Drosophila melanogaster: one gene and its partner. The protein of the gene in region 1 interacts with the protein of each later gene in a pairwise test. Each region holds a gene or a part of one and is shown in the gene's direction. Other genes may lie near its edges.

Region 1 (5,332 bases):
TAAGCATACTATATACACATATATATATACATATATTGATAAAGTAATAAAGCGGCATAAATGTGTAAAAGTAATCTATTTATTTACACCGACAACCCTGTAAATACACAAATTCTGTGCAATTTTCTATCGACTCCCGCAAAACCCCGCGTTTTAATTCAATCCTCGCCCAAATCGAAACTTTGAACAGACAACGACTTTGGATTCTCCCTTCCACCTGGATATACACTATATATACATACATATATATATACATACATACATTTAATTATTAACTTACGCAAGTCTGAAAGTATTTCTATCGAAGAGTTCTAAACTGCTTAACTGTAAAGTGTACATACATATACCGAATTACAAACACTCACAGATCCTATAAACTATATTTATAGATGTAAGAAAAAGCACACTATTGATAACCATCCCCATCACTGTATGTATATGCCTATTTAATATATATATATATATATATATATATATCTACTTTTTTTGAATTAGTCACTAAGCATAGACAACATGAATTACTAAGTACGATATGCACTGCAAGCACTGAGGAATTTGATTCAATTTTACTTAAGACAAACGAAAAGAGAAATTGAAATAGCATTTAGCAAACCTAACGGAAAATCAAAAAAAAAAAAACAGAATTAAATAAGAGAATCTCCAATTTCTGGGATAATAATTACAAATTTAATATTAATTTTTCGAGCTACATCGGATGAGAAATACCGACGAAAAAAAAAAACTGTATTCGCTTGTGGCAATTGTGTGGGAAAGTCGAGAACGTTTAGCATCTGGATTGGCTATGCAGCATTCGTATGTTATATACTTAGAAACCCGAAAACCACAGATACACACACACACCCACGAATATTAAATAGATGTACAATAGTTATATAGACTCATTCGCATCGATCCTTTAAGCCATAGTCTATCCTGTTAAGCTCTCAAACAAAATTGTAATTTTCGGAACCGCAAAAAACGAACCCCAAACGCTCAGCTACGAGTTTCTGTTTAAAATCCAAGTGCAACTTTCAAAGAATTGTAAAAAAAAAAAAAATATCAATAACACTTTACGCTAGCGAATCCCAACAATATTTGGACAAACGATCGAAATCATCCACAAAATTGCTTATAATATGAATTTTCTGACTCTCTCCTAAGGGAAAATAAAAATTTTTTTTGGTATTTCAAACTCAACAACATTGCGTTTTTCTTTTATGGCATAGTTTTGGGCTTTCTCACCTACAAGTAAAGTCAAATTCAGATGAGTCACGGCTTGTAAGGTAACTAAATAAGTTATTAGAATATTGTAATCACAGCATTTAGACGGAAATCGAAATAAGTCATAAGGGTAAGTTCGAAAGATGCAAATTTATGCATCTGCATTCCATAACTTTGAAGTCATCGTAAGCCAAGCTTAAACGAGCTTTAAAACGTACACAAAGCTTGTCCAATTGGCTGCAACTTTTTTTTAACAATAAATAAATTTTTAAAAATTAAATCTTTTTATCTAAAATTGTCTGAATGTCAGCTGACTTCAATCAGTTGAATATATGTTCTTTATGCATTTTCATTTCATATTTTTCTTTATCATATTCTATTCACCGAGTGGAAGATTTCCCTGCAGGTTTGTTGTTTTTTTTTTTAGCCACATAAGTCAGTAAATCAGCCCACTGTACCCACTGTGCCGCTCCACAAAGAGCGTTCAGCGTTGAGCGGAGAGCGTTTAGAAAGCGCCAGCGACCGGCGATTGCAATTGCCACCGCTCACGGAGAGCGGCGAGCGGCGTTTGCGATTGCGATTGCCATTGGGATTGGGATTTGTTGTAGCGTGGATCGCGGAGTCGGAGTCAAAAGCTAAAAGCCAGATTCAGTTGGCGGCGCAGACTCGACTCGTTTAGTTCGCCGTTTCGTAGAAGAGCGACGAGAGCGCATGCGGCTTTTCCAGCGCGGTTTTTCCACCAAAACTTCGGCGACCTGTGTACTATTATTTATATTTTTATTACATTTTTTTTTATTGTTTTTTCTTTCTACCTGCGAACGCTTTGCTCGCCTTGAACTGGAGTGCTTCGTTTTTGAGTAGTGCATCTCTGCCTTTTGCTGGCGAGTGCTACAATTGTCGCACGTAATCGTGCTGGCAGTTACGCCTCAGAAAGCAGCCAAAAAAAAAAGAAAAAAAAACGCAGATACAAGATACAAAAGTATCTCGAACACATGCGTTACGCTCAGCTGACTCGTCGTGTGTGTGAGTGTATCGTAGTGTCGTTGTGTGTGTGTGCTAACAAATTGGTTAGATAAATTAAACAAAAACTGTGAAATTCGCGAATCAAAAAAAAAAAAAAAACAAAAGTAAAATAAAAGTTACACAAACGAAATACGCGAAGGAAAAGCGACGAGCTGAAACTGAAAGCAAACAATCAGCCGGGCTGACCAGTAGTAAATGCTTTAAACTTCAATTATAAAATTTAAATTGAAAAAAATAAAAAAAACACATATAGTTCACAATACCGCATCATAATATCCTACCCGCATCCTAACCCCCGCCGCTGGCCAAAATATGTCACAATTCCGCGATAATTCATGGGTGAGTTGCGATCGAGTTCAGTTCGGTTTGGCTTGAGATTTGGCACTAATTACCGACTAACTACTGCACACGTATCCACAGTGATACTCGCACTCTATCCTGCACTCAAAACTAATCCAAATTGCACAATTATCCAACACAATTTCTCTCCCTATCCTCATTTGTCCATTGCCCAACGCCCCCTCTCGACATCTTCTTAATTGGTCCAAATCGTTAATTAACCTGTGTGGCCATCTGTAAACCGATTGGCCAATTGGCACCATGCATCTCTCGGCCTGACCCGATTTTTTTAAATTTCGCAGCTCGCCAAGTGCCGATCCATCGATTGGTGGAATTGCACTGGCAATCAAAGTTGATAATTAGGGGAATTTTGACGATTTCTTCAATCATTTTGATGTTTAGTATTTGAGATACATTCACTAGTTCTTTGATGGCTTATTACCTTAAACTGCTTTTGAACTTTAAGAAAGTTACAAATATTCGTTTTAACTTACTATAACTTTATAAGTTTAATGAACAGAAAATATAGAACTTTCCACATTTATAGACAAGCAATTATAATATCATTTTCGATATAAAAAACATTATTATTAGGGGTGTTTTTTTTCGAGTGCATTTGCATTTGTGCCGACTGGCAATTGACTTGGAACTGAGAATTTTGACAGCTTCCGAAGCTTCGCATGCAGCGAATTACCTTGGCTTTATCAGCGGAATAACGGTGTCGAGGTCACTCGAAATAACCTAATCAAATTGGTTGGTTTTTTTAAATTTTAATTTTTTATTTTTTTTTAATAGGAGTGCGTCGTTCGCTTTGGCGAACGAAAGTCGAACAGTTTTTGAATAAATTAGTGCGATGCAAAACACGCAGGTTAAGCGGGTCAAACGGCAATGTTGATAGGCATGGGATGAAATTTATAGATCGACTTATTCGAAGTGCTGTGCAACCCGTTTATCTCGAACGATTTATCTGCGAAATATCTGGCCAAGATGGTAAAAAAAAAAAACAAAAAAAACTACTGCGGCAAGTGGTATTGCAAGATATGCAAAATTGTGGTTAAGTAAAGTAGTAAATTATCAATACTTTGTATTTAGAGATATGAATTCACTACTTAAGATACTTTTTTTTCGATTTAGTTTCTCTATATGTTTGCTGACTTTCGAATTAAGCCGCAATTGCTTTGCATTTTTTTTATCTCTACTTGTGTCAAAGAGAAAAACACACACACCTACATTTACCGAGAAATTTCCCAACTTAATTTCTACATGCTATCTAGATCAAACATCATTTCCACACCTCGAGCGCCCTTTTTCTACAGCAATTGCATGATTTGAAGGTCGACGGAGCTTTCTTTTGTTTCTTTTGGAGTTAAAAAAAAAAAAAAACCGGTGAAACAAACAGTTAGGATTGCACTCAGCGAAAAGAGTTATCTAAATCCATAACTTGTTGATAAGAAGATAGTGGTTGTATTGTAGTAAAAAATAATCATATAAAAACTTGGTACATTTAGGCATGGTGAACTTTTGCACCACAGCAATTTCGCGTAGAATCGCATTCTTTTTTTTTAGAAGCCTTTGTTTCGCTTCGCTGTATTTTTGTTGTTTATGAATGTGAATGCGTTATCGTCGTATCTGCGTAACTGTAATCGCATTATGATCCATTAAAATGCGCCAGCTTTTTTGGCAGTTTTTTTTTTTGTGATAAGGTCTGCGGACACCCACCACCTAAGGCGCTCCCTCGTCTGGCAGCAAAAAAATGAAAATAAAAAATATCATAAAACCAATCAAAATCCAGTAAAATAAGAGAAAAACCAGTTGGCCTGGCCCAAGTCGATTGCGCAAATGTCGTGACTGACGTCGCGCCAACGATTATCATCTTCTTCTGGCTAAGATTGAGATTCGGACTGGGATTGGGATTGGGATTTGGGACTTGGGATGCTGCACCTGCACATCCAAAGTCTGGCGGCTGAAGTCTGCTTCCTGGTGGCAGCTTCAAGTTCAATTACGGCAGATTGTCGTGAAGGCATTGGCCATGGATTCACAACCATATCGATATACACAACCACAACCATATTCACATCCACATCCACATCCACATGTCCATGTTGGTCATCAGCAACTTTCACTCACCGGCTAAATGACGATGACGATGTGTGCCTCCTGCACATTTTGTCATCGTTTTTCATGTGGGAAAATCTCTCGCCTCTGCAAAAGATCCAAAGAAAAAAAGACCTAAACGATGGGGAAGTCGTGTGGAGGCTCGCTTTTATTTTTCCTTCTTTTTTATTCATGGAAGCTGCGCTTTTGGGCAGACATTGCAAAATAATTTCCACAACAAGTTGGGAAGGCCGTCGACGACAATGAACTTTTAATTACCCCAAAGACTCGTTTCGCAAAAAAAATAAAAACACATGGAGAAAAGTAAAGGGGGAGCACAAACCTCATTCAAATGAGGTTTGCGGAAGAAAAAGAAAAGAAATTTTCAAAGGAGGAAAAGTTACTTAGCTCTCCGTGATCATATGCAATTTAATGCCTGCCCAATTTGCTGCGGAACAATCGGGTCTTTGTTTTTTTATGAGCAAAACCCTCCATTTCCCCAGCAGCAGATTAGATTTCAATTGAAGATTTGCAGATTGGCTTCCCTCGTTGATTTTCGTGGGATTGCCAGCCGAAAACTGGCTAGCCAAATTATGAATAAGTGTGCTGTAAATACGATTTCTGGCTAATACCAAAGCGGATTACAGTGCAATGA
Region 2 (4,864 bases), on another chromosome or scaffold:
TGGAGCAGAACGAGATCACGCACTTCAAGGATCGCAATGTCTTCTGCGACCTGCCCTCGCTGCGTGACCTCCATTTGGGCGACAACGATCTGCGGGACCTCAACTTCGAGGTGCGCTGCCTGAACAATCTTCGCTTCCTCGACCTGGAGCGCAATAAGTTCAGCTTCGTGAAGCCAACCGATCTTCGGGTGCTCAATGAACTGGAGGAGCGCCCCAACCGCACGGCCAACTTGATCGTAGACTTTAACCTCAATCCCTTCGGCTGCGACTGCCGCACCGCTCCGTTCCGCGCGTGGATAACCACCACCCGGGTGACGGTGCGCAACAAGGACAGCTTGATGTGCTTCCATTCGACGGGACATGTGGACGCCGAGCCCGCTCACCTCCTGCAGATGGATATGGGTCAGTGTGCGGACGCCATCGCCGCCGCTGCCACAATACTAAACACCGCAGAGGATGAGCCGCACTACGGCGACCCGGAGGCGTCTCATCTCCAACCTCAGGCCCATATCAGCGGTCACACGGCCACTCTGATCTTCCTGCTGATCGTACTCACCATGATCCTGCTGGGACTTCTGGTGGCACTTGTCTACGTCAGTAGAGACAAGTTGAAATACATGATAACGCCGGTTTTCGACAATGTGGCCAAGAAGGTGCAGTACACATCGATCAAGGACGAAGACTGCCCGGAGGTGCACGTTTAGGAGCTTCACTTCACCAACAGAATCAACACAAAAAGAGAGAAGGAGAGGAATAAAGCTCGGTTTTCACTTTTCATTTCAAACAGAAAGCCATTCGATTCCCTGAAATTGTATCAAGGCCAAAAAAGTTCCTGCAATTTCCAAAGGATATAACATAAAAGATTCTTCGATTGAATTTGTGAAGAATTCTTTCTTACTTTCTATTCCTGTAGAACACTATTTGTTTGAAATTGAATTCGAAACCGGGCCAATATCCTCAGATTAGTTTTTGCCATTAGCGTTTCGCAAAACGTGTGCCATTCACAATGGAAGAGGATGAGATGGAGGAAACAATAGGATCACACTGAAGTCCCAACCAGAATCAGAACATCAGCCTTTGTTTCGTAGTACTTAAGCCAATTGTTGCATTTAACAGCGGATGGAATGTGGCCACTTAAATTACTGCAACAAAACCACATTACACAGACAAGAACACAATTTCTTTAGATTTAGCGGTTTTCTATCTTAACTTTAAGTCAGTTATGGGTTCTATGATTTCAAAGCAAAGAAATCGTACGAAAGGAGAAGGCAAAGCGGGCCTGTATCAACCGATTTGACCACACATATATAGTGACATATATATATATAGAAACAGACACATATATATACATGCATATATCGTAACAAACACTTTAGTGTTATCTGTGATTTAAGTTTAGTAGCTTTACTTTGTTGAAACTCTGCAGAAAGAACATTTTAAATCGAAATTGGTCTAAAACAAACTTCAATTCTTTTTATAGCATTACAGATAATTCTACACTCAATGAAACTGTTTCGATGCTTAATATGTTATTAATCAATTAATTTGTCAATTATACTAGCTGTACGATAATTTCTCCCTTGATTAACTACCAATAACAAGCATTTTTTATAAATAAACATTTGAAAAATGAAATGAAATGCGTTTTAAATTTATTTGTGTGGGTTTCATTGGACTTGCAACCATATCCTAATAATTTGAATATATTTTTTAAAAACTTATTTGCAACTTATTCGCGGTTATGTTAAAATGATAATTTGAATTCGATTTATTTTCGATATAAGTTGGTAGTCGATTGGACCGATTTTTCGTGCGTGATTTGAATGGTATCCCTGGTCCTAGACTATCGATAACAGTGCAAACAGTGTTTTGGGTCACCTACAATTTTATAAACAATCCGCAGCTTAATTTGTAAGTTACAGCTTAATTGCCGAATTCTAAGATGTATTCAAAGTGGTTGTCAAATTAAAGAACCCTTTTATTTTGAGTATCTGGTTAATTGTCATTTTGTATTCAAGGTCAACTAGAAATGATCGTGGAATTAAAGCTCGTTTGGGTCGTTATCAATCTGTTTAAAATTGTGAAATCTGTAATTCGAACAGAAAGTTGATAATGATTTTTGTTTCCTGCAGCTAATTTTGGGTGAATTTCAGATCAAACATATTTATATGTTGCGGCATTAACTTTAGACGCTCTTGTTTATTTGCATATTTCAGTTTGCATGTGTGCGTGAGCGCTTTAAAACAAAATCGTGTCGCATATAGATATTCCGCTAGTCTAATCACAATTCAGTGCCATTATGCAACGTCACCGCGTAGTGCAGGCCTCCAGCATTTAACTCAACAATTGCATTTAAAAGTAAACCAGTGATATAGTTTATTGTTACATTTGAGATCAGACATCAGACCCGCAGAGACGACAGGCAAAGTGCGTGCTTATCGCGCAATAAACAATCCAGACACGCGGTGATAAGGCGAAAGGGAGCGATCATTCACTAAAGTCACCTTTTTACAGATGCTACGCAGCTGTCAGTTAACCCTCTCCGCCGCTAAGAGGAGCCTTCGCGAGCAGTTCCAGTTGCAAGCCCTTCGTCACCAGCAGACTGCCATTAAAATGGAGAAATTCGATCTGCCCAAGCGATTGCAGGGTAGCACGCCCAGCGTCTGGAACGAGTACATTGCCCTGGCCATGCAATATAAGCCCCTGAACTTGGGACAGGGATTTCCCGATGATGCCGCTCCCGAGTACGTGACCCACTCGTTGGCCGACATTGCCAAGGAGCAGAATCCTCTTCTGCATCAGTACACTCGCGGTTACGGTCACGTTCGCCTGGTCAATGCGCTATCCAAGCTCTATAGCGGTCTCGTCGGCAAGGAGCTAAATCCCCTCAGCGACATACTGATTACCTCAGGCGCCTATGAGGCTCTCTACTCCACCATCATGGGCCATGTGGACGTGGGCGACGAGGTGATCATTATTGAACCATTCTTTGATTGCTACGAGCCTATGGTCAAGATGGCCGGTGGAGTGCCCCGCTTTGTTCCCCTAAAATTGGTAAGAACCACAATAGAAAAAAAAAATATATCCCTCTTTTTAACATGTCTAACTTCTAGCGCAAGACAGAGGGACCAATAAGCTCTGCCGATTGGGTGCTAGATGACGCTGAGTTCGAGAGTCTGTTCAACTCTAAAACAAAGATGATTATCCTAAACACGCCCCACAACCCTATTGGAAAGGTCTTCAACCGGAAAGAGCTAGAGAGGATAGCCGAGCTCTGCCGCAAGTGGAATGTGCTGTGCGTCTCGGACGAGGTGTATGAGTGGTTGGTGTTCGACGGAGCCGAGCACATCCGTATCTGCACGCTGCCGGGCATGTGGGATCGCACCATTACTCTGGGATCAGCGGGCAAGACCTTCTCAGTAACTGGTTGGAAAATAGGCTGGGCCTACGGACCCGCTGAACTGATTCGAAACCTGCAGATGGTGCATCAGAACTCTGTGTACACCTGTCCAACGCCGCTCCAGGAGGGCGTCGCACGCAGTTTCGAGGTAGAACTGGCCCGTTTGGGTCAGCCGGAGAGCTACTTCCTTAGCCTGCCGCGCGAGCTGAAGCAGAAGCGTGACTTCATGGCCAAGTTCCTGTCCGAATCCGGTATGCGTCCCACCATTCCTGAGGGTGGCTACTTTATGCTGGCAGACTGGTCACCACTGGCGGGCAAGATTGATCTAAGCTCTGAGCCAGACAAGCATCGGGATTACAAGTTTACCAAGTGGATGACCAAGAACATGGGCTTGCAGGGCATACCGCCAAGTGCCTTCTACAGCGAACCCAACAAACATCTGGGGGAGGACTTTGTGCGCTACTGCTTCATCAAGAAGCAAGAGAACCTGGATAAGGCGGCCGAACTGCTGTCCAAATGGAAATAGTCGCCGGACAATAAACGAATTGCTATCAGCCGCTTTGTTTATCTCTGCCCGAATGCAGTTCCCTAACCTGGGTGTTACGTAACCAACAGGGAAAACAACCTTGTGCTGGTGTGGTAGCCTTACTGCAATCTCCATTTATTAGCAATCCAACAACATGTTCATCCGCACCATACATTGGATAGTAGGTAGCTAGTGTCGCTGTAACGTGTATATTGTGTTCTGTGTTTTTAAACTAGTGTTCTCCGCTTAGGCATCGTACACGGACTTCAGGGCCAATTCGGGCTTGTCGTAGCCCAGTTCCTCGATGGTTGGGATGCCCAGCTCCTGCAGTGTGGGGGTGATCTTCTCCAGCAAGTAGGGATAGAGGGTGGCCTTTTGGTCGCCGCACTTGTCCTTGCATCCCTCCAGCCACCTGATGGCCAGTGCAATGTCGTTGACGCGACGGCTGGCACGCAGACCGGCCTCGATGATCTTGGGGCTGGGCACCAGATCCATGCCCAGCAGATCGTTCATGCCCTTGCGGATCTCCCAGCCATCGATGCCCTCACGGCTGAAGTACTTCTCGTAGCGCTTGTCGAACTCCTCCGCCGATTCCTCGGTTCCGTGCAGACAGCGCACGGCGGCCACGCGCGACGATGTGCCGACGAGGCTGCTGCGGAGGGCGCTTGCCAGGTTACGGGCCGTGATGCTCAACATGCTGCCGTTAAAAACAGTAAAATGCTTGTTAATTGCAAAAATTTGGTTAAGTAACAGCTCGACTCACTTTTCTTGTTCTTGCTACTTTTCACACGGGTATGACAGATCTGAGTGATGGTTGGCAACACTGGCTTTTCCAGGGATGGACACGTTTATAACTGTCGCTGTCACGGAACAGTGAGATATTTAAAATGTTTCTGCTTCAGTATATTTCAAATTCGGGTAAGATCACAGTTAGTTTA

What was found. The genes of interacting proteins can lie anywhere in the genome.
Region 2: the proteins of Nost (region 1) and Kyat interact in a two-hybrid assay, tested with the Drosophila melanogaster proteins (one study listed by BioGRID).

What each region holds. Positions count from the first base shown.
Region 1 is NC_004354.4:9,028,314-9,033,645, forward strand, and holds the start of Nost (nostrin), read left to right. Parts: upstream 1-1,891; 5' UTR 1,892-2,556; coding exon 2,557-2,583; intron 2,584-5,332.
Region 2 is NT_033777.3:11,819,470-11,824,333, reverse strand, and holds Kyat (kynurenine aminotransferase), read left to right. Parts: upstream 1-1,840; 5' UTR 1,841-1,911; intron 1,912-1,913; exon of another isoform or gene 1,914-1,987; intron 1,988-2,092; exon of another isoform or gene 2,093-2,142; intron 2,143-2,216; exon of another isoform or gene 2,217-2,514; coding exon 2,515-3,054; intron 3,055-3,113; coding exon 3,114-3,926; 3' UTR 3,927-3,953; downstream 3,954-4,864. Other genes in the region: CG6959 (uncharacterized protein), read left to right, coding at 1-704; COX5A (cytochrome c oxidase subunit 5A), read right to left, coding at 4,173-4,622.